Linked DNA regions of Canis lupus familiaris. The protein of the gene in region 6 interacts with the protein of the main gene of each other region in a pairwise test. Links are inferred from orthologs where the notes say so. Each region holds a gene or a part of one and is shown on either strand. Other genes may lie near its edges. The genes, in order: EGFR, GIGYF1, IGF1R, RAF1, GIGYF2 and GRB10.

The links.
Region 1: the proteins of GRB10 (region 6) and EGFR interact in binary tests that used the Homo sapiens proteins (3 or more experiments, as listed by UniProt). The link is inferred for Canis lupus familiaris from reciprocal best matches to the Homo sapiens genes GRB10 and EGFR.
Region 2: the proteins of GRB10 (region 6) and GIGYF1 interact in a two-hybrid assay, tested with the Homo sapiens proteins (2 studies listed by BioGRID). The link is inferred for Canis lupus familiaris from reciprocal best matches to the Homo sapiens genes GRB10 and GIGYF1.
Region 3: the proteins of GRB10 (region 6) and IGF1R interact in a two-hybrid assay, tested with the Homo sapiens proteins (4 studies listed by BioGRID and IntAct). The link is inferred for Canis lupus familiaris from reciprocal best matches to the Homo sapiens genes GRB10 and IGF1R.
Region 4: the proteins of GRB10 (region 6) and RAF1 interact in a two-hybrid assay, tested with the Homo sapiens proteins (2 studies listed by BioGRID). The link is inferred for Canis lupus familiaris from reciprocal best matches to the Homo sapiens genes GRB10 and RAF1.
Region 5: the proteins of GRB10 (region 6) and GIGYF2 interact in a two-hybrid assay, tested with the Homo sapiens proteins (2 studies listed by BioGRID). The link is inferred for Canis lupus familiaris from reciprocal best matches to the Homo sapiens genes GRB10 and GIGYF2.

What each region holds. Positions count from the first base shown.
Region 1 is NC_049239.1:6,117,132-6,121,781, forward strand, and holds part of EGFR (epidermal growth factor receptor), read left to right. Parts: intron 1-1,884; coding exon 1,885-2,084; intron 2,085-3,201; coding exon 3,202-3,334; intron 3,335-4,650. UniProt on the Homo sapiens protein: Receptor tyrosine kinase binding ligands of the EGF family and activating several signaling cascades to convert extracellular cues into appropriate cellular responses.
Region 2 is NC_049227.1:8,962,260-8,967,351, forward strand, and holds the start of GIGYF1 (GRB10-interacting GYF protein 1), read left to right. Parts: upstream 1-1,837; 5' UTR 1,838-1,898; intron 1,899-4,869; 5' UTR 4,870-4,996; intron 4,997-5,092. UniProt on the Homo sapiens protein: May act cooperatively with GRB10 to regulate tyrosine kinase receptor signaling. May increase IGF1 receptor phosphorylation under IGF1 stimulation as well as phosphorylation of IRS1 and SHC1.
Region 3 is NC_049224.1:42,231,179-42,235,828, forward strand, and holds part of IGF1R (insulin-like growth factor 1 receptor), read left to right. Parts: intron 1-2,584; coding exon 2,585-3,130; intron 3,131-4,650. UniProt on the Homo sapiens protein: Receptor tyrosine kinase which mediates actions of insulin-like growth factor 1 (IGF1). Binds IGF1 with high affinity and IGF2 and insulin (INS) with a lower affinity. The activated IGF1R is involved in cell growth and survival control.
Region 4 is NC_049241.1:6,018,500-6,023,149, forward strand, and holds part of RAF1 (RAF proto-oncogene serine/threonine-protein kinase), read left to right. Parts: intron 1-2,971; coding exon 2,972-3,084; intron 3,085-4,650. UniProt on the Homo sapiens protein: Serine/threonine-protein kinase that acts as a regulatory link between the membrane-associated Ras GTPases and the MAPK/ERK cascade, and this critical regulatory link functions as a switch determining cell fate decisions including proliferation, differentiation, apoptosis, survival and oncogenic transformation.
Region 5 is NC_049246.1:44,630,042-44,634,669, forward strand, and holds part of GIGYF2 (GRB10-interacting GYF protein 2), read left to right. Parts: intron 1-1,464; coding exon of another isoform or gene 1,465-1,466; coding exon 1,467-1,617; intron 1,618-4,628. UniProt on the Homo sapiens protein: Key component of the 4EHP-GYF2 complex, a multiprotein complex that acts as a repressor of translation initiation. In the 4EHP-GYF2 complex, acts as a factor that bridges EIF4E2 to ZFP36/TTP, linking translation repression with mRNA decay.
Region 6 is NC_049239.1:2,207,291-2,212,598, reverse strand, and holds the start of GRB10 (growth factor receptor-bound protein 10), read left to right. Parts: upstream 1-1,658; 5' UTR 1,659-1,722; intron 1,723-5,308.

The DNA.
Region 1 (4,650 bases), about 3.9 Mb from region 6:
ATTTTGAGAATCTCTTTGTCAGATTTTTTTGAGAATTTTGAGAATCTCTTTGTCAGATCTGCCTTGGAAACAGTCTAATGCTGAGAACTATCACCCATTAATTGACCCCTAAGACAACTACGTAATATTTTTGAGAATCTTTTTGAGATCTCTTATTTTTTGAGAATTTTGAGAATTTTGAGAATCTCTTTGTCAGATTTTTTTGAGAATTTTGAGAATCTCTTTGTCAGATCTGCCTTGGAAACAGTCTAATGCTGAGAACTATCACCCATTAATTGACCCCTAAGACAACTACGTAATATCATTCAATATTAAAGAAAATCTGAATAGAGTATACATAAAATACATAATCGCTTTTTAAAAACCATCTTGGCTGTGCATGTCTTGTACTAACCATGGAGCTAACATTGCTTCCCTGGAAAGACCCTTTGTTCTAAGTTCTTAACAATATTTCTTTTGCCCAAGATTTATACAGAGATAAGAGATTTAGATCAATTTTCTTGGGTGACTGGCATGTACCACTTGGCTTAGTTCTAGGAATTTAAACAAATTTAGAATTACTTTGTTTTCTTTTCACATTTAATGAGAAATGGAGGGGCAGGGTGGCCACTGGCTCCAGGTATGGCTCACCAGACGAAGGTGACCCCAGCTTTGTCCCAGTGTCTAGGCTTCCGTGAGCACATGATGAGAGAATTTCTAAAACAGTGGTGCTGCTGGTCTCCTACACAGGGCTCCTCGCTTTCCTCAGGAGCAGGCTGTGGAAAGGGAGGAGGAGGAGGAAAAGGTTGAGGGAGAAACAGAGACAAGGAGAGAGGAGGAATCTCCAAGTTAAACTTTTGTCATCCTGTGTATGATGTCTCCTCATTCGGTGCTGTCTCAACTAGTCCATTCCCTGTCTTGGTGTCCAGTGAGCTTCCCAAAAATGCAAGTCTCTTTCCTATGGTTTCCATCATTTGCAGACCACAACCGAGCTCAAGGTGTCCAAGTAACCGGACACTTCTTCCAGGCTTCTGCTCCAGCAGTAGCTCCTGGTTCTCAGCACCCATCAGCTGCTTTCTTGCCTTCCTGCTCCTGTTCAGGACTTCCCTCCCTTCAGGGTGAATGACTTTTGCCCAATCACTTGATGGAAACCTATTGATAGCCTTATAGAGTTCTAGCACAGAGTTGGGTGGTTCAAATGATTGTTCAGTAAATGGATAGATCGATGAATCAGTGCATCAACAGGTGGAGGGATAGATGGATGAATGGATAGATGAATCCATGGATGAATGGATAGATGAGTGGGAAGGTGGATGGATGGGTAGGTGCATGGATGCATAGATGAGTGGACAGATGAGTGGATAGATAGTTGGGTGAATAGGTGAATGGACAGATGAATGGATATGGGTGATGGATGGATGAATAGAGAGGTGGAAGGATCGATGGATGCATATGTGCATAGATACATAGACAAGTATACGGATTGATGAGTGAGTAGATAGATGGATAGATGAATGGGTGGATGCATGGGTGGAAAAGATGAACCTATGGTTTTTGAAGCGTATTTGGATATTTGAGAGGTTAGAACATGCTCTCTATTCCCAGGCACAAAAAAAAAATGCAGTGCATATAATAATGATATTAACGTTTATTCAGCCCCCACAATGCCACTGGGGTTAAAGATACTAAATGAACAAGGAACAGGCTTTTCCCTGGAGGAGCTTTAAAAAAAAAACTCTTATAATTTTCAGAAGTTGTGATACAGACTTCCTGCAATATGACTTACAATCAGTGCGAGGCAGTTTGTAGTAAACAGAAGGTGGTCCAGAAAATAAAAATAACGTTTTTAGTGATATAATCTTTTCATAATTTTTAACAACGTTATGTTTCTTCTCCCCGCGACAGTGGCCAGTTTTCTCTGGCGGTCGTCGGCCTGAACATAACGTCCTTGGGATTACGCTCCCTCAAGGAGATAAGCGATGGAGATGTGATCATCTCTGGAAACCGAAAATTGTGCTATGCAAATACAATAAACTGGAAGAAACTCTTTGGGACTTCAAGTCAGAAAACCAAAATTATAAACAACAAAGATGAAAAAGCCTGCAGTAAGTAATCACTCTGGTTGATTGTGGAGATGGTTCACATGGATCATTTCTTTTGATTTAGAATATTCCCAAACAGGGCACCTGGGTGGCTCAGTGGTTGAGCATCCGCCTTTGGCTCGGGTCATGATCCCGGGGTCCTGGGATCGAGTCCTGCATCAGGTTCCCTGCAGGGAGACTGCTTCCCCTCTGCCTGTGTCTCTGCCCCTCTCCCTGTCTCTGTGTCTCTCACGAATAAATAAATAAAATCCTTTAAAAAAATTTATTTTAAAAAGGAATATCCCCAAACATTTAAGTTACATTTTTCATTCCTGAAGAAGCAGATTAAAAGAAATCTGTATATTCCTAAATGTGAAGTTATCGTGTAAAGTTCATTGGAATTGTTTCCAAATCACTCACATGTCATAGGATGGATTTGCCTTGAGATTTAAGCTATCAATTATTTATTTATAATTTACAGAACTGAGTTTTGTATACATTATCTTACCTTTTAGCCTCTGATGAACGTAGCTAGCAACACATACACACACGCACGTGCACACACACACGTGCACACGCGTGCAGGTAGAATGAACATTTACACTGACATTTTCTAGTCTGAGTTTAGAGTCCCAGGCAGCTCTTGAAGCCAGGCGTGCCCGTTACCTGGTCACTGGGAGAAGCAGATCTGAGGTCACACCCTGACTCTAGCCCTTCCCAGCTTCCAGACTGTGGTCAGTTTACTCAGCATGTGTAGGCCTCGGCTTCCTCAGTGATTCTCACTGCTTGGGAGAGAATTAAATGGAATTTTACATGTAAAACTCTTGGCATGGTGCCCAGCACACGGCAAGGCCCACAAACCTTCCCTGTGTTTCCATCAGCTATGACATTCATCCGCAAAATGCTACCCAGCTCCAGGCCAGGAACCCTTGACTCCCCGCAGGGAAGAGGAACTTGTAGTTGGCCTCTGGAAGCCCGTTGTGTGTCATCGCTTCTTCCAGGCCCCCCCACCCCACCCCGCCATGTCCATGCAGCTCAAGGTCACAGAGAGCCCAGCATCCCACTTACAGGAGCGGTCTCAAGTGGCCCCTCCAGTCACTGTGCCATAGCTGACCCCTTGTGTCTCGGTCTGTCTTCTCAGAGGCCATAGGCCACGTCTGCCATCCATTGTGCTCCTCAGAAGGCTGCTGGGGCCCAGGGCCGAGAGACTGCGTGTCCTGCCGAAACGTCAGCCGTGGCAAGGAATGTGTGGAAAAGTGCAACATTCTGGAGGGGTAAGGCTATCTCTTAACCCCTTTTGTTTTCATTAAAAAATAATAATAAGGCGATTGTTTTTATAGGTTTACAGTTACTTCACTTTGAAACTTATCCTTTTGTTTTTTTCCCTTTTTCTTTGGTCTTTATTTCTTGACAACTGTTAATCACAAAAGGAAATGAACAAACTTTTTTCATTACTTAATCCTATCCACTAATTTAGAGAGTCTCTATTTTTGGAAATACCTGATAATTTTCTCAGCCACACAGAGTTCCCAAGACAAATGGAAAAGTCAGAAATGGTTTGTGTGGCCAAGACCACAGCCGTTTAGACTTTTCTTTGGAATTACTCTTCCTGGCATGTCAAAATATCCTAGTATAAATTACATTTCCCGGTTAATTTGTTTCATGTTCAACAAATACCAAACTGTGCAAATAACTTTAAATGTAACCATGGACAAAGAAATAAACAAGCATATAACATAACCATTGTTAAATTTATTTGCCATCAATAGAAAGTCCAATCTGTTGCTTCTGTGGGAATCTTGATACTGATGTCAAGCTTTTTGCATGACCTCAAATAATGACTAAGAATAAATTAATAGGAAAGTAAAATTGAAGGATAGAGAGAGGCAGAGGTGCTTTTTTTTGTTTTTTAATGTAAAGAAAAGGGGAAATTTTGTGAGAGAGAAGAGCCATGGGAATTACAGATGGCTACAGGAACCATCCTTCTTGTTCGCTTTCAGCGCTTGGGCCACAGTACGGATCCAGAAATATTTAGGAACAGGATGAGAAGCCCAAGTCCAACTCTGTAGGAATCCTTTAGCAGGTGCGCTCGGTCACCTAACAGAGTCCTTTGTATAATTGACAGTGTTGCTTCAACAAGTAAGAAATATTGGTGCAATCGTTACTGCTGCAAACAGACATGAATCTCATGGTTTCCACATCTTCTTAGAGAGAGAGGAAATTAGAATAACCATGAGGGTGGAGCCTTTCTGTTAGAGAACCCTGGTGTCTTGCTGCACTTGCTCGGTTTGCATGGCTGGCTTCTCCAGCAGGCGTGTAACCCGGAGAAGGAGGGAAGGAAGAAAAAAAAAAAAAACAATTGGGCATATTTGGTTTAAATGACATTAGGGAGGATTTATGGACCATGTTGTGGGTGTAAACACTGTGTATTCACTGGAGTGAAGACCTGTAGTTAATTACCAGGCAGAGGCAGATTTCAGTGTTAAAAGCTGTCACAACTATTTTGCCTTTTCAATCAAACATCATCTTCTTGCTTAACATCCATCTAGACATCTTTGAGGAATAGCGAAACCATCACAAGCAAAAATTT
Region 2 (5,092 bases), on a different chromosome or scaffold from region 6:
CTACCCAAGTGTCTTCCTTCCAGCTTAGCACAGGGCCCCACCATTCCCTACAGATGGCATTCCACAGACATCCCTCCCCCCCTTTCCCCTATACCAAAAATGTGCGATCTCATATTTGCTAAATTAACAATCGAGACATGCTAAGACCTTACTCATTCAGAGATTTGGCTGCTGGGAACTTCCATCACCCAGGACACAATCTAGAAAAGTTAAAAAAAAAAAAAAGCAACAACAGTTTGTAACAAAAAAACTGTCATAAGCTTATAAGCTTTAGGTGAAGAATTCTCACCCAAGCCTGGATTCTGTCGATACATTTTTATACAGTGTTCACAACTTTATATCTTCTCTCCTGTAAAACCAGAAGCCCCCCCCCCCCCATCAGCTAACATTTGTGGAGTACTTGCCCTGTGCCAAACAGTGTGTTAAATGCTTTACCAGACAATCCAGAGAGGGAACAGATTATTTCCAAGGCCACAGGCAGTAATGAATGAAATCTGCACGGGAGCCCTTGCTTTAAACAATTGCTATTTTCCAGCCTCGCAGCAAGCGGGGGAGACCAACAGCACTAAGAAATCCTGACTGCATGAAAGTGAAGGGAACTGGGGAAAAACAAAACAAAACAAAACAAAACAGATACTAAAACTGCTAGGACAGAGAAGCCTGGGGAACACTGGTGCGGGAACAAAGGGCCTTCTGGTAGCTCCTGAGGTCTGCGCTCCATTCTGGCACAACACAAGACACTCAAGTTCTAAGTCCCACTTTACCTTTCTCCGTCCTGAGGATTACACTGTGTTTGCTAACAGCCGTTTTAGGAAGCCGGAAAGTACAGTATACATTCTGAATAACCAGCACCCCCTACCCCGCCAAAAAGGTGAAAATACACAGGGGATAAAAAACAAAACAAAACAAAAAACCTTTCACCCTAAAAAGTTCAGGGACTTGGAAAAATCTTTCTTGAAAACCCCTTTTTTAAACAAAGGAGGTGTCAATCTACTTCTCATATTTGCATAATAATTTCTCTCTTCACCGTCTTTCACATTCACCTATTTTAATTCTTCCAGCACTAGGGGAATGGAGTCGGGTGGAGGTCGGGGGTGGGGCGGAGAACAGCGTAACACCTGACCTAAAAGTGAAACTGAGGCCCCATCAACTGCTTTGCCCCCGGGGTCTAGAAGCTAGTAGTCAGTGGCGGAGCCAGATGGAAACTCTGGGTCTCATCAGCCAGTGCTGCTTCGGACACTTTCCAAATGATTAGTTCCTCACTTATTTTATATATCCCAGGACTTCTAATTAACACACCTCTGGATCGTATGCTGTCTCCTTCAATCCAGGTGGGCTTCCTGGAGGAAACCGACTGGAGAGGCGAGCCCTGCGATGCCACCTGCGGCGGCCTCCGTCGCGACGGTCGCGCGTCACGTGCCGGGAGCAGCCGGGGGGCAGCCGAGGAGTGCCCCGGGGACCCCACCCCCCACCCCGGCCCGCTGCAGGCCCTGCGTCACGTGACGAGCCAGGCCTCGGGTCACGTGCCGGGGGGGTAATTTCGGGGGCGGCGGGCGCCAGGGCTCCCCACTGGGCAGGCGGGGCGGGCGCTAGGCCGTGCGGGTCGCCGGGGACCGGGGCTACGGAGGGAGCGGCGGCGGCGGCTGCAGAGGCGGCCGCGGCGGCGGAGGGGGCGGCCCCGCGGCCCCGCGTCCGCGTCACGTGGTGCGAGGCGGGCAGCCATCTTGCTACAAACACAAACAGAGAGGAGCGGCCGCCGCGGGAGCGCCAGCGCCCCCTCCCCCGCCGCCGCCGCCGCCGTCGTCGTCGCCGCCGCCGCCGCCGCCGCCGCCGCCCCCTGGCCCGCCGCGCGCCGCCAACGCCCCGGGACCGGAGCCTCGCGCCGCCCGCCCGCCGCGGTAAGCGCTCGGCGGCCCCGCGGACCCCGGCCCGCCGCCGGGCCCGGGGCAGGCCCGCCCCCGACGCTGAGGCGGCCGCGCCGAGCCTGCGAGAGCCAGAGCGAGCGCGCGGGCCGCCAGCACGGACCCTCCCGCCTCTCTGCCCAGGCCGCTGCCGCCGTCGCCGCCCGGTGCGTCCGCCCTCCCGCCGGCCCCTCCTCGGCGCGGCCCCGAGGGAGGACGCCCTCGCCCCTCGCCCCTCGCCTCGCGCACCTGGCGCCCCCTCCCTGAAGGGCACGCCGTCCTCCCGGGCGGCCCGCCTCCTTCCCACCCCCGCGCTCCTAACGGTCGTCCTCTGGCACCTCGGCAGCCCTGCCCGGCCCCTTCCCGTCCACCCGCATCCTCCGCCAGGCCTGCCCCGGCCCCCCGACCCTAGTGCCCGGCGCTCCCCGGAGACTTCCCCCAACGAGCCTCCGGGCTTTGACCGGAATTAGCTGGGCCCTGCGGGTCTTAAAGTCCAGGCGTTCCATGACTTTGGCCAACGTGGAAGCTTTTCTTAACCGAAGCACCTCCGCTGGGTCTTCACCTAAATTTCCTTTCAGCGGGCGACATTAATGCTTGGTCATTGGGGTCTCCTTCCTCCCTGTTGCCCGTCCGTTTCTAACAGCTTAGTCTCCTGGCTACGGTCCCTCACACTTTGCCTCTTTTCTTCCCCCCGAGTTAACTTGAAAGAGACCCTCTTTCTTACCCAGTCGTTAGAATTCCTAGTAAGCTTCCCGGTCTGGTCTTTCATTGGGCCCCAGCCCTGGGAGATGCTAAGTCAGTTGTCCGCCGGATCTTTCCTCCACGCACCCCAGTCTGTCTGTCTGTATCTCTCTCTCTCGTTTCTTCTTGCTGCTTACCCCAAACTCAGCCTGCACGCCACTTCTCCACTGTCCCTTGGAGCTGACATGCCAGTGGCACCTTGGCTCCCCACCCATGGTCTCTGCATGTGAAGCCCCTTAGATACCAACAGGCTAGGCTGATCCCCTTTGCCATTCATTATGGGGAGTTTGCTCTCAGGATCCTTCATCTGTAGTCTTCCCCTTGAAGTGCCAGGCCACCCACCCCTCACCCAGCTCCAGTTTTATTTCCTAGTTGTAGATCTGTGTAATTGGGAAGGGATGAGACAGATGTGGACTTTGCATTGCTGCCGTGGCCTAGGGAGCAGGGACCTAAACGGTCCCATATGGTGATTACAGTCAAGTGAGTTCTGTTTCTAGATCTCTGGCCTGGCTTTTTGTAGCCAGTGGACAAATTAGTGTTGTGGTTTGAGGAATTCAAGGACCCCAGTTTGCCCTTGTTTGTGGTTGGGTTAGAGATAGAAAAAGCTGCCCCACTTGAGAACAGAGAAAGGGAGAAGAGGTTGCTACGTGAAGGATTTTAAAAATTCTAAGGAGAAATTTTAAATGGCTTAAAACTTACCAAGTACTTAGGGTGGCTCTTGCTGCTTGTGCATCCCTTCTCCAGTCTCTAATAGTGTGTCAGGAACATGGGGTCCCCTGTGGGGGCAGCTGCATCCTCCCTTGTTTTCCCTGGCTGGGTCCCGAGACTGGGCAAGTGGGCAGAAGGGATCAAATGAGGTAAAGTGTGAAAGCACTTTGAGAACTTAACCAGTAAACATGCCAAGGACATTATCACGATGGCTCAGAGAGGCAGGGGGAACATGGTCTTGCACCCCTTCCTGAGCCTCAGAATTATTCTACCATGCATGGAGGATCTTTCCATCCAGAGAAAGGGCGGAGTCACCTCCCAACAGGCTTGGGGCTGGGTGGTTGCTGGTTGCTCAGATGTTGGGGAATTTGGGACTCCACTTCTGTTAATAGTGGTACCTTTCTGTGCCAAGGCACATTGCTCTGGAATAGGGCTAATTTTAGGGGTGACGGAATGAGGAAATAATGTTAACTTAGTGTGTACTAGGACTGCGTATTCTTTGGATATTTTTCTTCTGAGAGTTCTGAACCCCAGAGAACAGGCTTCGCTCCTGTTCCTGCAAGCCTGTTGTGAGCATCCTGGACAGTGTGTGTCCTCTCCCCTCAACTCCAGCAGGGGGCAGCCTTTTAGTAGCAATAATTCCAGTGCCAGGGGAGGGAGGGTATGTTAAGGCCTGAGAAAGAAGATCGGGCAGACAGGGGCCTAGGGAGACAGTTAGGAGATGAGGCAAACAGATGCTGAAGGTAGGGCCATGGGGTGGCAGATAAGCTGGAGGAATAAGCCTGTGAGGAGAGCCTTAAGATTAAGAAGCCAGGAAAGAGTGCTGTCCGCAGTCCTGTCTGCTCTGCTCCTTGTCCTGGTTCTTTGCTACTGGAAAGGGACCCAAACTTTGAGAGTTTGTGATACAGAAACTTAGCAGAATTTTTTGAATCTCTTCTTAAGGATTTCTCTCCTGGCAGGAGTTCATATTTCTCTCATGGGACAGTACAATTAGGAAACAATTTCCTTGCTTGCTCACCGGAGGGGAAACTGAATTGGAATAAACTTGGTTTCTTTTGTCTTCGTTCTTCCCCATAAACAGAATAGGCTTTATCAGCACCCATGATACGAAGGAAGGGTCCTCAACCATGGCAGTGTTGATTCCTTGTTGTGGGTGGGGGGCAGTGGGAGGCTGCCCTTCATGTTGTAGAGTGTGTAGCAGCGTCTCTGCTCTCTGTTAGACACCAGTAGTGCCCTTCAGTCATGCCAACCAAAACCATCTGCAGATATTGCCACATGTCTCTTGGGGAGCACAGCCCCCCCTTTAATTGAGAACCATTAACTTGGAGGAAACATGGAGAAGACTCATGGGTGTGGAGGGTGGGCACCATGGGGCAGTGTGTGTGCTGTTGGGTGGCACTTCCTGCAGTGTAGGGAATGGCCGGTGGCCACCAGCTGCTGGGACCAGGTCCTCCTGTGACTTTTTTCCAGCTGCTTCTCTGCTTCCCCTGCCCTGACTACCTTTCCCTTGCTTCTGCAGTTGCTCTGCTTCTCACACTGGGAGCCACTCCTCAGTTTGCTCCTTACAACCAGGACACAGAGGTGAAAGCCAGGAGCAGAGAGCATCAAGGAGAGCCACCTTTGCCACTCCCTGGAAGGGAGGGAGGGTGAGTGGTCTTCTGCCTTCCATACCCAGAGGGCTCTTCTGTCCCCCATCTTCCCTCTCAAGATGGGGCTTCTGGAATGAACTTCAGGAAGCTTAG
Region 3 (4,650 bases), on a different chromosome or scaffold from region 6:
TACCAAACTCATTTCCTTTGCTCTTCTCTACACCCCTGGCCATCCACATTGCTGTCTCTTGAGTATATATTGTTCTTCTCCCTTTTCTCTGGCCTCTGGAATGTTAATAGCCAGGGTTTTTTTTTTTTTTTTTTTTTTAAAGATTTTTATTTATTACTTAGTGGGAGGGAGGGAGGGGGAGAGAAGAAAGAGAAAGAGAGAGAGAGAGAGTGTGCACGAGGGGGGGGGGGTCAGAGGGAGAAGCAGACTCCCTGCTGAGCAGGGAGCCTAACTTGGGGCTCGATCCCAGGACCCCGGGATCATGACCTGAGCTGAAGGCAGACACTTAACTGACTGAAACACCCAGGCGCCCCTTAATATCCAGTTTTAAATACCACCCATCTTACAGCAGCCAAGGCATGTGTGGAGCTTTCCTGGGAACTGCAATAGAAAGAACCTTCTCTCTTCAGGAAGTTCCAAGGCTACCTCCAGTCTGTCCTGCTTAGCTCAATTCACATCTAGAGTGGATTCTCTTTTTCGTTTTTCCTTTTAAAGATTTTGTTTATTTATTTGGGAGGGAACGAGAGAAAGAGAGTGAGCACAAGCAGCAGGGAGAGGCAGAGGGAGAGGGGAGAGGGAGAAGCAGATTCCCTGCTGAGCAGAGAGCCTGACACAGGGCTCGATACCAGGACTCTGGGATCATGATCTGAGCAGAAGGCAGATGCCAACATATTGAACCACCCAAGCACCCCTAGAGTGGATTTTCACTGTGCACATCACTGCCAACCTTCTGCTTCATATGACCATTATTTGTCATGGGTCTTAGCTCCTGGCTTTCACCATGAGCCTCTTCAGAGGGTAGACACTGCTTCTTTGCACCTCTTACAGTGTCTTATGTGTTGAGTGCTCCAAAAATTAATGAATTACATCAATCAGAAAACTTGACTCTGAGAAGCTTTAATGGAAGGCTTGGGATTATGAAATCATAAGAAAGGGTATTAATGAAGGTTTGTAAGTGTGCCTGTATACGTGTCTATATTTTTTAAAATAAACCTTCCAGTGTTGAGGCTATTTTATCAAAAGTTTTTGAAATCTGCAGATGCCTTGGTCCAGTAATTCTACTTCTAGGGATTTATTGCAAGAAAACAGTCTTGGATATTTGCCGAGAATGTTCACTGGAATGTTGTTTATGATGTGAGAAGCTGGAATAACCTAAATATCCAACAATAGGGGATTGGTTTAAAAATATAAAAGAACTAGGGGTGCCTGAATAGCTCGGTTGAGTATCCAACTCTTGGTTTCAGCTCACGTCATGATCTCAGGGTTCTAGATCAAGCCCCGCATTGGGCTCTGCACTCAGTGCAGTCTGCTAGAGATGATCTCCCTCTGCTCGTCCCCATGCTCATGCTGGCTCTCTTTCATGTGAATAAATAAAAAAATTAAAATGAAAAAAAAAAAAGAACTCATGGTACATACTCATACTCTAGCATTACTGTCTCTAAATTGATGACATATAAGGACATTTAATGATTTGGCAAAATGTTCGTATGAAGTGAGGGAAAGTATTGTCTGATTTCCTTTATCTTAATTAAATTACTTATAGAGAAAGGATCACTGGTATAGGCACTGTTAATAGTGATTATCTTTGGATGTTGAGATATTGGTGGTTTTTACTGTCTTTTTGTTGTCTATTACCAAAACTTTCTACAAGAAGCTTGCTTTCTTGGTTAATAAATCATTTTATTGAAGTTGGGATTATATACCTCTTTTATTCATAAAAACACACATTCTTGTTTTTTTTTTTTTAGGATTTTATTTACTTATTCATGAGAGACACAGAGAGAGAAAGAGGCACAGACACAGGCAGAGGGAGAAGCAGGCTCCTTGCAGGGAGCCCAATATGGGACTTGATCCTGGGACTCCAGGATCATGCCCTGGGCCAAAGGCAGGCACTAAACCTCTGAGCCACCCAGGGATCCCCCTTGTCTTTCTATTAAATGAGCCTCAGTATCTATATTCATACAGTATTGGGGAAGAATACGAGGCCACCTGGTCTGTGTCAGATGGTAGCAAGAAATGTGGGAACTTCTGTGGGTCCCTACTTTCTAGGTCATAGTGACTGTTCTCCAGTGTAGACTAGTGCATGGTTTCCTTGAGGCTGGATGCAGTAGTAAGCTGTTGTTTCTTGGCTGCTGAGCTGTTTGTTCAGATTCTGGGCATTGGTGCTGTGCAGAAGGGGTGGGGAGTGTGCAGCCTGGAAGCTGCACTTGACTTGACTTGAAGTCTTGACTATGTAACCTTGACTCTCTTCTGTGCTTCTGTGTGACCTTGAGCTCTGAGCTGTGATTTGCACATCAGTAGGATGGGGATGGCATCTCCCATGGTCACTGGGTATGTTGCACAATATCTGGCCCAGTGTAGACACTTCATGAATAATAGTCTACACCTACGGTTAGTCTACAGCCAAGAACAGAGTCTTATTTCTTTAATAATACTAATACAGGTTTCCTGAAAACTGGCCATATTGTGGGTTGGGAAATAGTTCTAAAAATGATTTCCTTTTAACTCAGACATGTCCTGCCCTTGCCCTCTTGTCTCCCCTCAGTCTGTGGGCCAGGCATCGACATCCGCAATGACTATCAGCAGCTGAAGCGCCTGGAGAACTGTACAGTGATCGAGGGCTACCTCCACATCCTACTCATCTCCAAGGCAGAGGACTACCGCAGCTACCGCTTCCCCAAGCTCACGGTCATCACCGAGTACCTGCTGCTGTTCCGTGTGGCCGGCCTTGAGAGCCTCGGGGATCTCTTCCCCAACCTCACAGTCATCCGCGGCTGGAAGCTCTTCTACAACTACGCCCTGGTCATCTTTGAGATGACCAACCTCAAGGATATTGGGCTTTACAATCTGAGGAACATTACTCGGGGGGCCATCAGGATTGAGAAGAATGCTGACCTCTGTTACCTCTCCACAGTGGACTGGTCCCTGATCCTGGATGCAGTGTCCAACAACTACATCGTGGGGAACAAACCCCCTAAGGAATGTGGGGACCTGTGTCCAGGGACAATGGAGGAGAAGCCCTTGTGTGAGAAGACTACCATCAACAATGAATACAACTATCGCTGCTGGACTACAAATCGCTGCCAGAAAAGTAAGGATGATGCTGTTGTGGCTTTCTCTCTGCGCCTTTTACCCCTCCTGCTCTCCCTTGCCCTTTCTCCTCTTCTGAATGTGCAGGTTCTGCTGGGGGTTCTGCTGAGGGTTCTGCTGGGAGGGTGTGGTTGTGTTGCATTGAGGATGAGGCCACCTGCCCTGTGCAGGTTGGGGTCTTGCTTGGCTTCCTTTTGCATTCGGGAACTCATGGAATGCAGGACCTTGGCATGGCTGCCATCAAGAGCATCTAGATCATGTCTTGGATATAATCTGTCACCCTTCTGGGCTAGAAGCTTGCTGACCTTAAGCTTTAGATTCCAACAAGAAAGGTGACCTGGTGTGCTTGGAAGTGCCTAAGCCCTAGCAGTCAGGGACTGCTTACCTATCACCTGGCTCATCCTTTGTGGGATGGCAGGACTTCCTTTGTATGAATATACTTGGAATGTGGTTGAGTAAAGGGAAAGTAAAAATTCACTTCACATCCTGTGGAAGTGGTGACCTCCATCCTGTCCTCCCCAGTGACGGTTATGATGCTTAGGTGTGCTGGTTTATAATGGAGTACCTCACCACAATGGGAGAGCCCTGGACCAGATTCCAGGAATCCCAAATTCAGGCTGTACTTGCAGGTAGCTGTGTGATGGGTGCACTTGTACACTCCAGGCTTCCATTTCCTTTTTCCTACACCGCCCCCCCCCCGCCCCCGCCGCCCCAAAGAGTTGTGCAGATCTTATGAAATCACCTAGTGAAAAGACTTTGAAGTGTATTCACTGCTCTGGGGGGTCACGTGGTGACATTTTAAAGCTTCTTATTTACCAGTAATATGCTTATTTTTCTCTTGAGTATAACCAGGCTCTTGAATTATTGTGATCAATTACCTTGAGACCCAGGTTGTTTGGTATTAGAAGGCAAGTCTGGGCCTTTGCCGTGTTGCTTTCAGCAATGTTTAGGTATGTTGGCCAGGAAGGTTCCTCTCCCTGGTTAGAAGTCAGTGTGGTAGCTATAAATAGCTATTATTTAATGGTTGGCCCAGTTAAAGACCCAAGGAGCTCATGTATTCTAGCTAGTCATGAAGAGCCAAGAAATCCCAAATTGGTAGGCTTGTCTAAACCATGAAGTGTATAAAATAAACAAATCAAAGGCCAGACCCCACAGGTAGCTGTTCTTTCTGTTCCCCGTCCAGCCAGGGTTGAAGCAGGAAAAGGATGGCTTCTTTGACTCAGAACACACTTTTATTCTATCAGTTCATCAGTGTGTACATGAGGATTTGATTAATAAGGGAAGGGGTCTCCCTTATTAAAGGTTTCTTAGAGATTCTCTAATTGAATTGGCACCCTCCCTTTACATAGAGTCAGTCCCTGTGGACCTGTGTGGTCTGGTGGGTAGCTGCCAGCCACCTGTGGCTTATTGTGTACTCGAACCATGGTCTGGTCTGAATTGAGACTCACTCTAAGCATAAAATACATTGAATTTCAAAGACGTAGAAGGAGGGGAGAAAAAGTAAAGTACCTTCTTCATATT
Region 4 (4,650 bases), on a different chromosome or scaffold from region 6:
CCTCTTTTTGCTGACCTTAATGAAATGAGGCTCATGCTAAGTACAATAGCTAATTTATAAGTAAAATGGTAGCTATGATTATTTGAGTTTTTTCTACATCTGTGTAGCTTTCGACAGCTTTCAGTTGAGCACAGCTGGTAGTTTGGAACCAGTGATTTAGAGGCTTGACTCCTCTTACAGCTTATGAGAAGGCTCTAGCAGATAAAGTTAGTTTCTCCTATTCCTTTGATCAGAGATGGACCATTGCTCTCTGGAAGAACCATATTCTTTCAGCAGGCATCCATCTTTAGGGAAGCATAGGAGGTAGGAGTCCCTTGCTGGCCAGCAGGTTGAGTTAGTATTTTCTAATCATCCTTAGGTTGCTTCACTGCTTGGAACCCAGAATGACTCATAATCACTTAGTGGGTTCCAGAAATTAGTCAGATTTAACTGAATTCAACATGTGTCCACGGAGAGTTGTAGAGAGGAAAGTGACCAAAAGGATATGTATATTATTTAAATAGTTGTAGATGTATAATTGGTAGTTGATTGAAAAACCTTGTCATTTATTTTGTACATATGTGTACAAATATGTACACTGCCTACTTATTGGGTGGGTGCTTAGACCACAGCTGAGGACCATTAATGACCATTAGAATCAGGGGATCCCTGGGTGGCGCAGCGGTTTGGCGCCTGCCTTTGGCCCAGGGCGCGATCCTGGAGACCCGGGATCGAATCCCACGTCGGGCTCCCGGTGCATGGAGCCTGCTTCTCCCTCTGCCTGTGTCTCTGCCTCTCTCTCTCTCTCTCTCTCTCACTCTCTGACTATCATAAATAAATAAAAATTAAAAAAAATGACCATTAGAATCACCTGACACAGGTTAAAATATAGATTCTTGGGCTTCATTCAAAATCAGGTGAAGCAGAATCCTTGGATGTATTGGAGTGGGGAGGCTGGGAATCTATATTTTCATAAGCTCCTTGGATGATTCTAATGCCAGCCACATTTGTGAACCCCACTGAATTAGAGGATATTTATTTAAAGAACTGTCTAACTCTTAGAGTCTGTGACTTTTTTTTTTTTTGGTACAGATTTTATGTATTTATTCATGAGACACACAGTGAGGGGCAGAAACACAGGCAGAGGGAGAAGTAGGCTCCTCGCAGGGAGCCTGATTTGGGACTCCGTCCCTGGAGTGGGATCACGCTGTGAGCCAAAGGCAGACACTCAACCACTTGAGCCATCTGGGCGTCCTTAGAGTCTGTGACTTTTAATGAAGATTAATGGTATAACACAGCACTATAGTTTTCAAGGCCCTGTTGCACAGTATTTGATGCAAGTAATGATTTGGTTAGTGTGTATGTATTCCTTTTCATTGTCCTCATTCTTGATGTCTTGTCTTCATAGTTCAGATTCATATATCTCACTTAGTTTTGTTTCTGAAAAGCAAGAAGTTAATGGATCTGAGAGTATAACTGCTTCAAGAAATCTAAAATAAAGTTGCCATGGAACATTTTAAATACTTCAGACTTTTAAAATGGATCCAAACATACACTCACCTCCTCTGGATTGGCCACTGTCAGCTGTCACACTTTCACTGAGCACAGGAACTCTACTGTGGGCAATTCACAAGCCCTGCAAATCTATATTCTGTTCTCCTACTGGCCGTACTGACTCTAGTTGCCTCACTTTTAATTAACTTTATTGCCTTTGAAAACAAAATGTATGAGGGGCTCCTGGGTGGTTGAGTTGGTTGAGAGGCCAACTCTTGATTTTGGCTCAGGTCAAAATGATGTTGATGTTGTGGGATCGAGTCCTGTGTTGGGCTCTGTGCAAGGTGTGGAGCCTGCTTGGGATTTTCTTTCTCCCTCTTCCTTTTCCCCTCCGTTTCCACCCCCCCCCCCTTTTGCGTGCTCTCTCTCTCTCTCTCCAAAAAATAAAAGAAAAACAAAATGAATGGGGCTTTTATAAAAACTTTTAAAGTCTTAGTCGAAATTTTATATAGCTGCTATTATTAGCACCCTGACTACTCACACTTACACTGGGTCTCTGAGTACCTGCCTAGCTTTTGAAGATTGGGTATGGAAGAGTGTGGAAGGACATACACTGAGGCTACCTGGAATGGTGTGCACATTTATTTAAATTAGTAGTGTTTGTTTTTGTAGCAGGGCAGAAGCTCTGTTTCCTCTCCTTGCTTGCCCTTACAGTTGTGAAGTGTGTATGAAATGGAATTTTTGTCAGGAAGATAAATCATCTTGTTTCAAACAGGTTGAAATACAAGTTTTCGTCAGAAAAACTCTTGTTTGCTTATAGATTAGATTGGTTTATTTTCCTTTCTGGTGGATGTTCATGCTTGCATGTACATTTCAGCAAGTTTTTTTTTTTTTTAAAGAGATTTTATTTATTTATTTATTAATGAGAGACACAGAGAGGCAGAAACATAGGCAGAGGGAGAAGCAGGCTCCCCTCAGGGAGCCCGATGTGGGACTTGATCTGAGCTGAAAGCAGAGCTTAATTGCTGAGCCATCCAGGTGTCCCTCAGCAAATTAAAATAGAGTTGTGTGAAGGGAAGTTTGATCATTTTATCTCTCTCAGCCACTCTCTTGATGTTAATAGCTAGAGATATATCTTTTCAGACTCATACAACATATATAAATATATATAGGTTTCCTGCCCTTTGAATAATCTCTTTGTATTATTCTGAAAAATATTTTCTCATAATTAACATATGGGCACCCCTCCCTCTAGGTCATTGTAAATAATATAGTAGTGACATACACACATATTCTAGGCTTTATCCAAGCCTATTGGACATTAGGCTTTTACCTATTATTGGACATTCCAGCTATTTTCTGTGTGCATTTATATTTACCATTACAAATAATGCTGTCATAAATCTGCATATATCTTTATAGACTGGTACATTTATTTCTTTGCTCACCAAGGGATGTGCAGCTGTTGTTGGTTCTAAAGATGGTCTTTTGTTTGTAGGTCAATGTGCGAAATGGAATGAGTTTGCATGATTGCCTTATGAAAGCACTCAAGGTGAGAGGCCTGCAGCCAGAGTGCTGTGCTGTGTTCAGACTTCTCCATGAACATAAAGGGTAAGAAATTAAAAGTCAACTCTTTTTTCATACAAGTAAGGAAGCTGATGACTTCAAATAATAATAGTTCTTTTTTTAAAAAGTATACTAGTTTCCTATAGAATATTATGTATTTATATTCCCTTGTGCATAGACAACTCAGAAAATTAAAATATTAAGAACTTGAAATTATTGTTTAAACATTGCATTGAGAAAAAGAATACATATTAGGTGTTGATAATATTCCATAAATGGAAGCAGTAGTGTCAGGTAATGTTTTCTTTAGAGTAAAAAATTTTTCTGTTTCCTGGAATGCAGTGGACAGAATGGGTACTCAGAAAGTGTTTGCATTATTATTTATAGTTAAAGAATCTTATCCTCAAGAGAGTAATAACTCTTATATAATTCATTTATTTAAAAGTTTTTACCTAAGTTATCTCTCCATTCATTGTGGGGCCTTGATCTCAGGACCTTGAGATCAAGAGTTGCATGCTTTTCTGACTGAGCCAGCCAGGTGCACCTCATTCATTCATTTATTTATTATATGGTTAATGCTTACTGAGTCCCTGCAATTTGGCAGACATAGGACTAAAAGATGCAGGAGAATTTCTGCTTCAAGGAAGATCCATAGTTAATCTTAGTTCTAATGGTGGTGGCAAGATAGAAGCATCCCATCAAAGGCTAGGAGCAATATTCCATAGCTTCTATTATCCATTATTATCCCCCTGAATTTGGGGGGAGTAATCTCTTGGAAAATGCTAGTTTCTTCTTTCTTCTTGGAAAATGCTAGTTCTGCTACTGATCTCCAGCTTGCATTTTTTCTGTTTCAAGGAGTTCTCCAGTTTGAGGGAATAGTCTAGGAAATGAGTCAACTCAAAGGGGCCAATTTAGATTCCGCTATACTACTCCCTCTATCTTAGGAAGCAGTTTGTTGAAGTGTAGATCTTTGAAGCAGCAGATGTCAGCATTATCTGGGTTTAGGCCCCAGGTTGGTCCCAAGCTAATCTCTAGTGCCTATTAAAGACTAGAGGGATTCTGGGACAGTGAGGGGCTGTCCACTCTCCTCTAAGGCCACACTGGTGTAGAGCTGCCTTAGCTTTTCTCTTAGACAGATGGAACCTGAAGACTGATGGAAACACAGAGCTGCCCCTCTCTCTCTTCATTAGGGCAAAACATGATCTTGGAGTCCTTGTATAGGGAATTATATTAAGGAATGAGTTATTTGCTATGGATAACCAAAAAAATGGCTGGAATAGGCTTCTGGTAGGCAAGGGAGAAGTTTGAATGTGTATGTTTGTGTTCTCTCCCTACCTGAGGATATTCTTCCTTCATTCAGGAAGTGGGCCTGATGAATTAACTACATAAGACATGAGAAAAGAGCATTTTTTTTGAAGCTAATTTTTAATTCATTGTATCTTTTTCTATGTTGTTTAGGCACAGATTGCTAGGTTGAAGTCTATTGAAGAGTAAATATTGCTATTACAGCAGTATTTATACCCCCTTTAGGATTTTAGAATTTTTATAGGATTTCAGTGTCACAAAGCCCAACTTACTGCATATTTACTTTATCATGAGATTGTTATTGTT
Region 5 (4,628 bases), on a different chromosome or scaffold from region 6:
GTTTCTGTTTGAAGATGCCTTATTTACTATATTGTTGATTCCTTGGACTGAACTCCTGGCCCGCAGCACTACAGCTGCTTACCTCGCACCTGCCTTTTCTCCATAAGCATGTCACAGCCTTTTTGGAACACTAGATAGCACTTAACACTTGGGGGCCATTTTAAACAGTGACAGCACTAACAAGCAAAAATGTGAGCCTCATGACACTACGGAAACTGAAAAAAGATGATCGTTTTTACTGTATGAGAGCGGAGACAAGAAGGTGGAATACTGTCCTGTTCCACCTCAACTGGGAATGTGTTTCCTCAGGCAACTCAGGTTTTTTACTGCTCTGGACATTCACAGTTCAGGAAAACCATAAAAGCCCTGCAAGTTTTGATTTTTGGGGTTATGGATAAATTATAGCCAGTATGTAAATTTGGAAATAGGAATCTGAATAATGAGGATCAGTTGTACAAGTTTTCTAAAAGATGAGGCGGCAAGGCTCATGGAGAGCTTAAGAATATTCATATCCTTCAATCCTATAATTCTGCCACAGATAATGTTTGTTACAGCGGTCATTTCTGGGAATATAAAAGATACAGTGAAGTACATTAAAAATCCGTTTGGGTGGATGGGTTAAACAAGGATCAAGGGAAGGAAAGTAAACAGCACTAGGAGAAATAGAGAATCAGAAGGGAAAACATCGTCTTTACATTTGTGAAGTGGCTGCTCCTGTGTGCTGAAATTGGAGGTGGGGGCCCACGCAATGTGTGCATATGCACATGTAGCCAGGCTCGTCCTTCCATGGTCATTTCTCTACTCTTCCTTCTCGTCCCCCACTGCCACTACCTGTGCCTTCAGCTAGCTCACTGAATCTGATCCCAGTTTAAAATGAATTGTTCTAATAAGGGCAACACTAAGTATGAATGGCTGGTAAACTATTTTGTAGTTGAACCAGTTGGTAGAAAGTATATGGATATTTTGGGGATCTTCTGGGATTGCCAATGGGAATAAAGTACATAATAATTTTGTTTGGTAACATACTGCCAGCTAGTCTGCAGCCTCTGTCCTCTCTGTCCTGGGGCTCAAGACAGAGGAACCTTATGTTTTGGTAGGTGAGGGGTGTAAATTGCTTGAGTACAGAGGTCTATTTTTGATTATTTGCTGTATATTTAATTTCATAGTGGCTGGAGACTCTATGTATACCAGAGAGGTTCTGACAGTTGTGTTGTCACAGTGGGGTGGAAACCTAGAGCTACCAGGATAGGCCTTTTGGAGGCACAGAGCTTAAGTGGGATGTCTGAATCTAAATGAAGGGAAAAGATGGCTCAGTGGACTCCTCTTGGTTTCATTATTACTGGAATCCATGATAGGCTTTCTGTTTTTAATCTCATACTTGATAAGGTGAGGACTAATCAACCATGTTCCTGTCGTGGGCCATACTTGCATCTATTGTGTAACCCCAATTGTGACATCTTCTCTCACAGGACTCTGTGTGGGGAATGAACCACAGTGCACTCCATTCAGTATTTCAGACCAATCAAAGCAACAACCAACAATCCAATTTTGAGGCCGTACAAAGTGGCAAGAAGAAGAAAAAGCAGAAGATGGTCCGAGCAGATCCCAGTTTGTTAGGTGAGCAAAGCCAAAAATCTCAGCTGGGAGTTAGAGGTGTGCAGGTTATAGCAATTTCCTATGTGAATCTCCTGATAGAATGTTTTTCATAAAGGGAAATATTTCTTATACAAAATTAATTTTTTAAGCCACTTCAAAATAAGTAATATTTACTGGGCACATCAGTGCAAGAGTGATGCCTCGTGTGCTATAGGGAATAAGAAAAGTAATTACTTATACTTGTGTGATGCTTTAAACTTTGAAGCCTTATTTCATATATTCTATGAATTTCCCTAGAAGGCCTTTCAGTGTAGTTGGAAAATAATGCTAATGGAGAAAAGGAAAAGTTGTTAAAACTTAAACACTGATTTGTATAGAAACTGACCATAAGTCTAATCAGGTATTCAAATAACTAATATTTGCTGATATTCATTATATATGGGTGTATATGTATATATATATAGAGAGAGAGAGAAAGAGAGAGAGAGTGTGTGTGTATATATATATATATATGTATATATATATATATCTATACATATATATATATATATTCAGAGTCATTCTGCATTATGAGATCATGTTCCACTTTACCAGTGAGTAAACCAACGCCCTGAGGGTTTAGAACATTTTCTAAAGTCACACCATTATTTAGCAGTGGGGCTGGGATTTCAGAGAAGGCCTGTTTTCTTTCCACTCTTCTGTTAGCCACAACTATTCACGTCTAGCCTTGAGAACCAGAGTCTTCACACAAGACAGCTTCATGGAAACAGTGACACCAGAATTAGGGCTTTGAAAGACTGGCAGGAAGGACAGGCAGTGGTGTTTCTGGAATAATAAACAGTCTAGGCAAGCAGATGCAGACTGCTTGTGTTTCTTAAGTTGGCCAAACAGCTTCACAGACAATGATGAAATTAGAATGATTCTCTGTTTATGAGTGTCAAATAGACTATTAAGAACTGTGTTGTCCAGAGCAGAACGATTATATTGGCAAGATGGCAGGTTGGAGTGTTGGCCCAGGCAGCAGGCTGTGGTATAGACCAGGTAAAAGATCCTGGTGGCCTGGAGAATAGGTAGGGGTTTTGGTAGTAGAGATGGAGAGGAGTTAGATGGGTTTCAGAAACTTAGGGAACTGAATTGGCTGACAAGGGGAATGGAAGGCTTTGGGCAGCAGGGTGGGTAGTGCTGCCATTTGCTAAAAGGATGAGCCCTGGAAAATGGAGCAAGCTTAGGGGGATAACAACACGGTGTTAAAGTGTGTTGTGTGGGTCCAGTGTGGACCCAGTGTGGAATGCCTATGGGACTACAGATGGAGATCCCCTTGTGAAAAAGTAGAGAGCACAGCAGGAAGGAGATTGCCATCCTACCTTGCCCGTAGTAGGGTCTCTGCCTTCCCTCAAAGGTCTCCTACAGTGGAGAAAACAAAATGTTAGTAACAGAAACTTAACTTTGAGGATTGCCCTTTGGAACTGGGGCCTGAAAGCTGGCTTGGGAGCAGAGAGAGACCTGGTGAAATTCTGTTTTCTTCTGCCTGTCTCAGAATTGTATTATTAAGTTACTTATTTTACCTGCCTCAGAAATTTATGTTAAGAATGGATGGAACAGTCTAACATTTTACCCAGTTTTGACAGAAGTGGGTGAAAATAGATTTACAAGTGCCTCTGAAATTCTGGGTGTGGCTTCTACCAAGAAGCCCTTTTGCTGTTTAGCTGTGTGGCACAGGAACCGTGGACTGTCAGGGGGGTGAGGTAAAAGTTCTCTGAATTAAATATTCAATCTGATTCCATCCCCATTACAGATACCAGAAAGAAAGGGACTTAAAACTCTCTTTGGGGGAATGAGGGTTATTTTAGGAATAGAGTTTAAGGAATACATATTATGTTGAAGGAACAGAAAAAAATATATAAGGAAAAGGGAAATAAATATTCAACAAAGTATTGAGAGAACTCACTTGTGTAGGCTTGGACCTTTTTATGAAAATGTCTTCTCAACTGAATCTCTATCTGAAAATTGCTCTGATGATTACTAACTTCTGCCCCTTGCCTACTCATTTCTACTTACTGCTATTTGTTTTATTGATTCACAGATTGAGAAAAATTAACAAATGTCTGTCATTCACAGTTCCCCATGTACAGAATGAGACAGTTCTAATTTGATCCAAAAGCATCCATTGAGAAAGTAGTCACTAATTAAAAGAGAACTTTGCTTCTAAAACAGACCATCAGGGGATCCCTGGGTGGCTCAGCAGTTTAGCGCCTGCCTTTGGCCCAGGGCATGGTCCTGGGGTCCTGGGATCGAGTCCTGCATCGGGCTCCCTGCATGGAGCCTGCTTCTCCCTCTGCCTGTGTCTCTGCCTCTCTCTCTCTCTCTCTCTCGCTCTCTGCCTCTCGCTCGCTCGCTCTCTCTCATTGATGAATGGATAAAATCTTAAAAAAAAAAAAAAAAAAAAAGATCATCAGGGAGGCCCAACCTCATTTTAATGATCCATCGCCTCCATTGTACTCTGTCTTCCTGTAGTTTTTAGAGCTGCCAGATGCCATTGTGAACCAACATCCATTACTTAGATATGATAGATACACACGATGGCATTTTTTTTTTTTTGAGATTTTATTTATTTATTCTTGAGAGACACAGAGAGAGGCAGAGACATAGGCAGAGGGAGAAGCAGGTTTCCTGCAGGGCACCTGATGCAAGACTCGATCCCAGGACTCCGGGATCATGACCTGAGCCAAAGGCAGACACTCAACCACTGAGCCACCCAGGAGTCCCAGTTTGTATTATTACATTTCCACTTTTAGCACATGTAGCTTGTTTTTATTGCAGTTTATCTTTCTTGAGATACATGTGAAGTCAAAACCCTGCTTCGAAATAAAGTAATAGCTCATTTCATAGGCTGTTTGGTCTTTATGTTTTTATATTTATCTAATTAAATTGTTATTTCCAAGTAGGGACACTAAGCCTTTTGTTATTTTCAAGGAAAAAGTCGTGGGTTGTGGGAACACTGTTGATGGGTAGAACTAAGGCTGGGGTTTGGA
Region 6 (5,308 bases):
AGGCCTATTTCAGTTACCAGAGTGCATGACCTTTCATTGATACATTCCGTCCCAAGGTGGGAAAGGCAGGTGCTATAAAAAGTGCCATAAAGGGTTTTGACATAATCCTTATTCTGCACTGACCAGCTACTTGACCTTCAGCCAGCCAACCAACCTGCGAAGATTGGGTTTCCTAGTCTGTAGGGAGGGCGTCTCCCAGAGGTCCAAAGCGGGGTTAAATAAGACGATCAGTGAATAGTCTGGTACCAAGTGTGTACTCAAAAAGGTAAGTCACTACTGTAGTGAAACTAGCTGTTTCATTACGTTAAGACCCAGAAAAAGAGGTAGTTGCTGTTACTATTGTACTTGGGTTGGGGAGAGGTGGTAATAACCACACCAATGACAATGGTTTCCACGAATTCGTGCCAGTCTCTCTGTTATAGCCGTGACCTCATTGAACTCCCAGCACAGCTCGGGCTTGCTCCTTAGGCCCATTTCAAGGATCAGGACACGGAGGCGTGGCGGCAATATGAAAATACATAGGGCCTCCCTGCTTCCCCGCAGGTGGGGACACTGAGGCTTGGGGAGGCGAGGCCCCAGACCACGGAGTCCCTCGGGTGATGCTGCTGCTGCTGCTGCGCCCGGGGTCAACCAACAGCGCGCTTATCACGGGGAGCTGCGGAATGGGCTCCCCAACTGCCTCTCGGGGCAGGTCCCACGGCTCCTTCGCTGGCACCCGAGCTTGGGCGGCTGCGACCCCGCACCCAGGGGTGCCCGGGGTGGGGGTGGGGGTGCAGGACGCGGGGTCCTGGCGCCCCGGCACAGCCGCCCCTCCCGCGCGCCGCCCCGCGTCCCCGCCCTGCGCCCCCCCTTGCACCCTGTGCCCCCTGCGCCCCCACCCCGCCCTGCACGCCCTGCACCCCCGCCACCCTCCGCCCTGCGCCCCCCCACCCCCCACCTTGTGCCCGAGCCCCCCCAGCCCCCGCCCTGCACCCCCCTACCCGCGGCCCCCCTCCGCTCGTCCAAGCCCCTGCCCTGCGCGCCCCCACGCCCTGGGCGCCCCCGCGCCCCCCTCCGCCTCCTGCGCCCTGCGCCCCATCTGCCCCCCGCCCTGCGCCCCCCTCCGGCCCCCGCGCCCCCCCCTCCGCCTCCCGCGTCCCCGCGCTGCGCCCTCCGCCCTCCGCCCCCTGCCCTGCGCCCCCCGCGTCCCCGCGCTGCGCCCTCCGCCCTCCGCCCCCTGCCCTGCGCCCCCCGCGCGCCCCCCTCCGCCCCCCGCGCCCCCGCCCTGCGCCCAGGCCGAGGCTCCGCCCGCGCTGGCGGCTGCCGAGCGGTCCGGGCTGTGGCGGCAGCGGGAGGAGGAGGAGGAGGAGGAGGAGGAGGAGCAGGAAAAGCGTCCGGGGGAGGAGGCGGAGGCGGAGGCGGCGGCGGAGGCGGCGGCGGGCGGGGCCGGCGAGTTTAAAGCCCCGCGAGGGGGTGGGGAGCCGGGAGGAGGCAGGAAGGGACGCGAGCGGCGCCGGCGGGAGGCCGCGGGGACCCGAAGTTTGCGCGCAGCCCCGGGCGGCGGGGGGCGGGGGCCGGGACCGGGACCGGGACCGGGACCAGGACCAGGACCGGGACCCCGACCGCCCTGCGCGCCGCCCGCGCCCTCGCCCGCGCCCCCGCCCGCGCCCCCGCCCGCGCCCCCGCCCCCGCCCCCGCCGAGGGTCCCGGGGCTCGCAGGCGGCCGGGGCGGCGCCGCGGCAGGTACGGAGTTGGGCGGGAGCGGGCGGCAACTTACTTTGCGGCGGGCGCGGGCGGGGGCGGGGGCCCGGGGCGGAGGGGCCGGGCCGGCATTGTCTGCGCGCGGGCCGGCCGGTCGGGGACGCGGCGGGGGCGCGGGGCGCGGCGGGCGGAAGGGCGTCGGCTCGGGGCCGGGGGCTGCGGCGGGGGGCGGGGGCCGGAGCTCCAGCGGCCGCGGTGCGCCCCGAGCCCGGGGTGGAGACGTAGGGGGAGGTGGAGGAGAGGTGGGGGGGCCGGAGCTCCAGCGGCCCCGGTGCGCCCCGAGTCCGGGGTGGAGGGGAGGTGGGGGGGATGGAGGAGAGGTGGAGGCGTGGAGAGGAGGTGGGGGGGTCCGGAGCTCCAGCGACCCTGGCGCGCCCCGAGCTCCGGGTGGAGGGGAGGCGCGGGGTGGAGGGGAGGTGGGGGGGCGGAGCTCCAGCGGCCCCTGTGCGCCCCGAGTCCGGGGTGGAGGGGAGGTGGGGGGGATGGAGGAGAGGTGGAGGCGTGGAGAGGAGGTGGGGGGGTCCGGAGCTCCAGCGACCCTGGCGCGCCCCGAGCTCCCGGTGGAGGGGAGATGGGGGAGGGGCTGGGGTCGCGGGAGGGCGGGCAGCCGGAGATCCAGCAGCCCCGGTGCGCCCCGCGCCAGGGATGGAGGGGGAGGTGTGAGGCGGGGGGGGGGGGGGGACGGGAGCTCCAGCGGCCCCGATGCGCCCGCGCCGGGGGTGGAGGGGAGGTGGGGGGGATGGAGGGGAGGCGGGAAGGGGGAACTGGAGCTCCGGCAGCCCCGGTGCACCCTGCGCCCGGGGTGGAGGGGAGGTGGGGGGGCGGACCTCATGCAGCCCTGGTGCGGGGCTGGAGGGGTGGTGGTGGGGGGGCCGGACCTCATGCGGCCCCCGGTGCGCCCCGAGCCCGGGGTGGAGGGGAGGTGGGGGGGGGCGGACTCGCCGGCAGCCCGGGGCACGGCCGGGCCGGAGTCGTTCTTCTCGGTTCCGCCGGCGGCCCGGTTACCCCGCGGGGCCTCACCCCAGCTGTGGGCCCCGGGGCAGCCGCCGCCAGCCGGGGAAATGTGATAAGCGCCCGAGCGCCGGCCGAGGAACGTCTGATGCAACCGGCCTCCCTGGTCGCCTCTCGGCCCGTCTTGCCGCTGCCCTCCGGCTTGTGCCTTAAGGGACTCGGGCTGTTCCCCACTTCTGATCGCCTTCCCTCTGCTGGGAGATTGCAAGGAACTTTGCCGACTTTTTGTCATTGGCTGGGGGCGGAGGGGTGGGCAGTGCAGGGCAGCCACAGGTGACAGTGCCCGGCCTGGGTCGGCGCTGGGAGAAGGCTGCCTTGCAAACGTCCTCGTATCCGCTTTCATTCAAGAGATGCAGAAAAAGCCCAAACAAGTAGCGCTCGCTCGTGAGTACACAGGCGTTATTGCACAACTTTCTCAGTGCTGCTGTTTACAAGGCCGGGCCCAGAACACTTTGTTTCCGAAAACGCTGATTCAGCCGTTCGTAGCCCCCGAGGTTCAGAATTGGTGCTCTCTCTAACGTTTCGCTCAGTTTTACCAAGAACACATGTTGGTGGCGCAGCAACAGGCGCTGGCTGGGGGTTTACAGGCACGGAGCTGCTGGTTTTTCCGCCAGCGTTGACCCGGCGTCCCCCTCTTTCATTCCAAGAGGAAAAGTGGGAAGATGCTTCGGTTTCTGTAGGGGAAGGAGTTTTGACATAGGGCCGGGGCCAAGTGTCTCTTGGGGGAGTATTTTATTAAGGAGAAGCCCTGAAACCAAATGTGTTTCCAGGAATGAGTCTAGATGACTGGGCTTTTTCCTGTGAAAGATCTGAACTCTAGGATTACTTTATTGGGAACACTTGAAAGCGGAGGGCCACGCAGGCCAATCCCCAGATTACAGGGAGGGAATTTGAGGACAGAGTTACACACCCGGCAAGTGGCTCCTGTAACTGAGAAGTGCAGCTTCCGATACCCCTGGAGCATTTTACAGGGTAAAAGGCTCCTTAGAAACCTGCTCGCTGTCATCTACAGCTCGCTGAGCCCCATCCCTTACAGGTGTGGAAACTGAGGCTCAGGGGTTAGTGGGCATGCCGGGGTCACGGGCCAGCGAATGACAGAGCTGTCACCAGGGCCTAGCTTTGGATTTATTTATTTTTTATTTTTTAATATTTTGTCCTGTGTGTTTCATGCTTCTGCACAAGTATGCCTGCCTCCAAAAGAGAAGTGACCTGGAGGACGTTCCTCCTGCCAGCCACACACCTGGAGACGTAGGAGGCTCTGTTACCTGCAGGGTGGCTCCCCAGCTTGCCGATTACTGTCCTATGGCCAGGCCTTTATCAATTTGTCCACTTGCTTTTTGTACTTAAGTACACACTTACTTGGGGAGGGAACTTTGATGTCACGAGTTCGATATGGCACTTGTGCTTTTTGCAGTTAGAACAGCGCGTTCGTAAAAGCTGTGTGTCCCTAGAGTCATCAGTTGCCTGTCGCCTGTGGTCTGCGCCACTCTGGGGGGCAGTGCGGGGCTGCTGCGCAGAAGCCCATCCCTTTGTGAGCCAGGAACCCAGAGCGGAGCTGGCTGGTGCCGGCCACTTGTCTAGGGATTTACGGATGGTGGCCGCGGGATCGGAACCCAGGGCAACCCTGGCCCTGTTCCGGTGACCGTGGAGCCGGAGGGAGCCGAACTCCAAACCTGGAGCCAGCGCAGAGCTTTGATTTGGATGCGGTGGCTGGTCTGGGACATTACGAGGTTCCGCAACCAGACTCAGGCTCGAACAGAGGCGGCTTTTGTGCCTCTGGCTTCATCTCAGAGCTGTAGAAATTCTGGGTTGGTCTATCTGATAAAACCCAATGCTTTGAAGGTGGCCTAATTTAAGGAACCTATTTTCTTGGAAGTCTGTCCGTCTCCGCAGGGGAAGAAAAACCTACACCGCGGGAGGATGTCTCTGAGCTGGTGTCAGAACTCGGAGCTGAGGGGACGCCTGCTCTGTTCGGTGGGGGGAGGAGGCCGTGTGTTTGCGGGGTGCGCATGATCCCTGTGACTGTCCCTCAGCCTGGGGGGCCAATGTGGAATCGCGGGGGCTCCTAGGGAGAAAACGTTTGCCTCGTCTTTTCATTTACGCAACCAGTCACGTTCAAAATTTAAATAAAAACTTTTTCTGCTAGTGAAGATTTTTTTCTTTAACCTGTCTTTTTTTTTTTTTTTTTTTTTTTTTTTTTTTGCTCAACTGTAGAATTATGGGGAACGATAGAAGAAATTAAAGATAGTAGAGCTCCTTGGTGGGCGAGGCTTGGCAGGCAGGCTCCCGGGGATCTGGCAATCTTGTAGGAGGTCTGTGCGCTCACGGGGGGAGTACATCTCACCCATTCGGGTGCTGGCGGGCGGCTGGCCTGTGTTTGCGTTTTAGCCGCCCTCTTCTGGGGAGCTGTGTGCTCCCCTGTCTTCTCCCTGTCTGGCCTCTGGCGGGGACACCCTTGCCCCCACTGCCCGCCCTGGCTTTGAGGAGCTTCTGAACTTGTCCCTGCTCCTGGGCATCACAGTTAACTGGAAGGAGGTGAAAGCAGGGGAAGCATAAA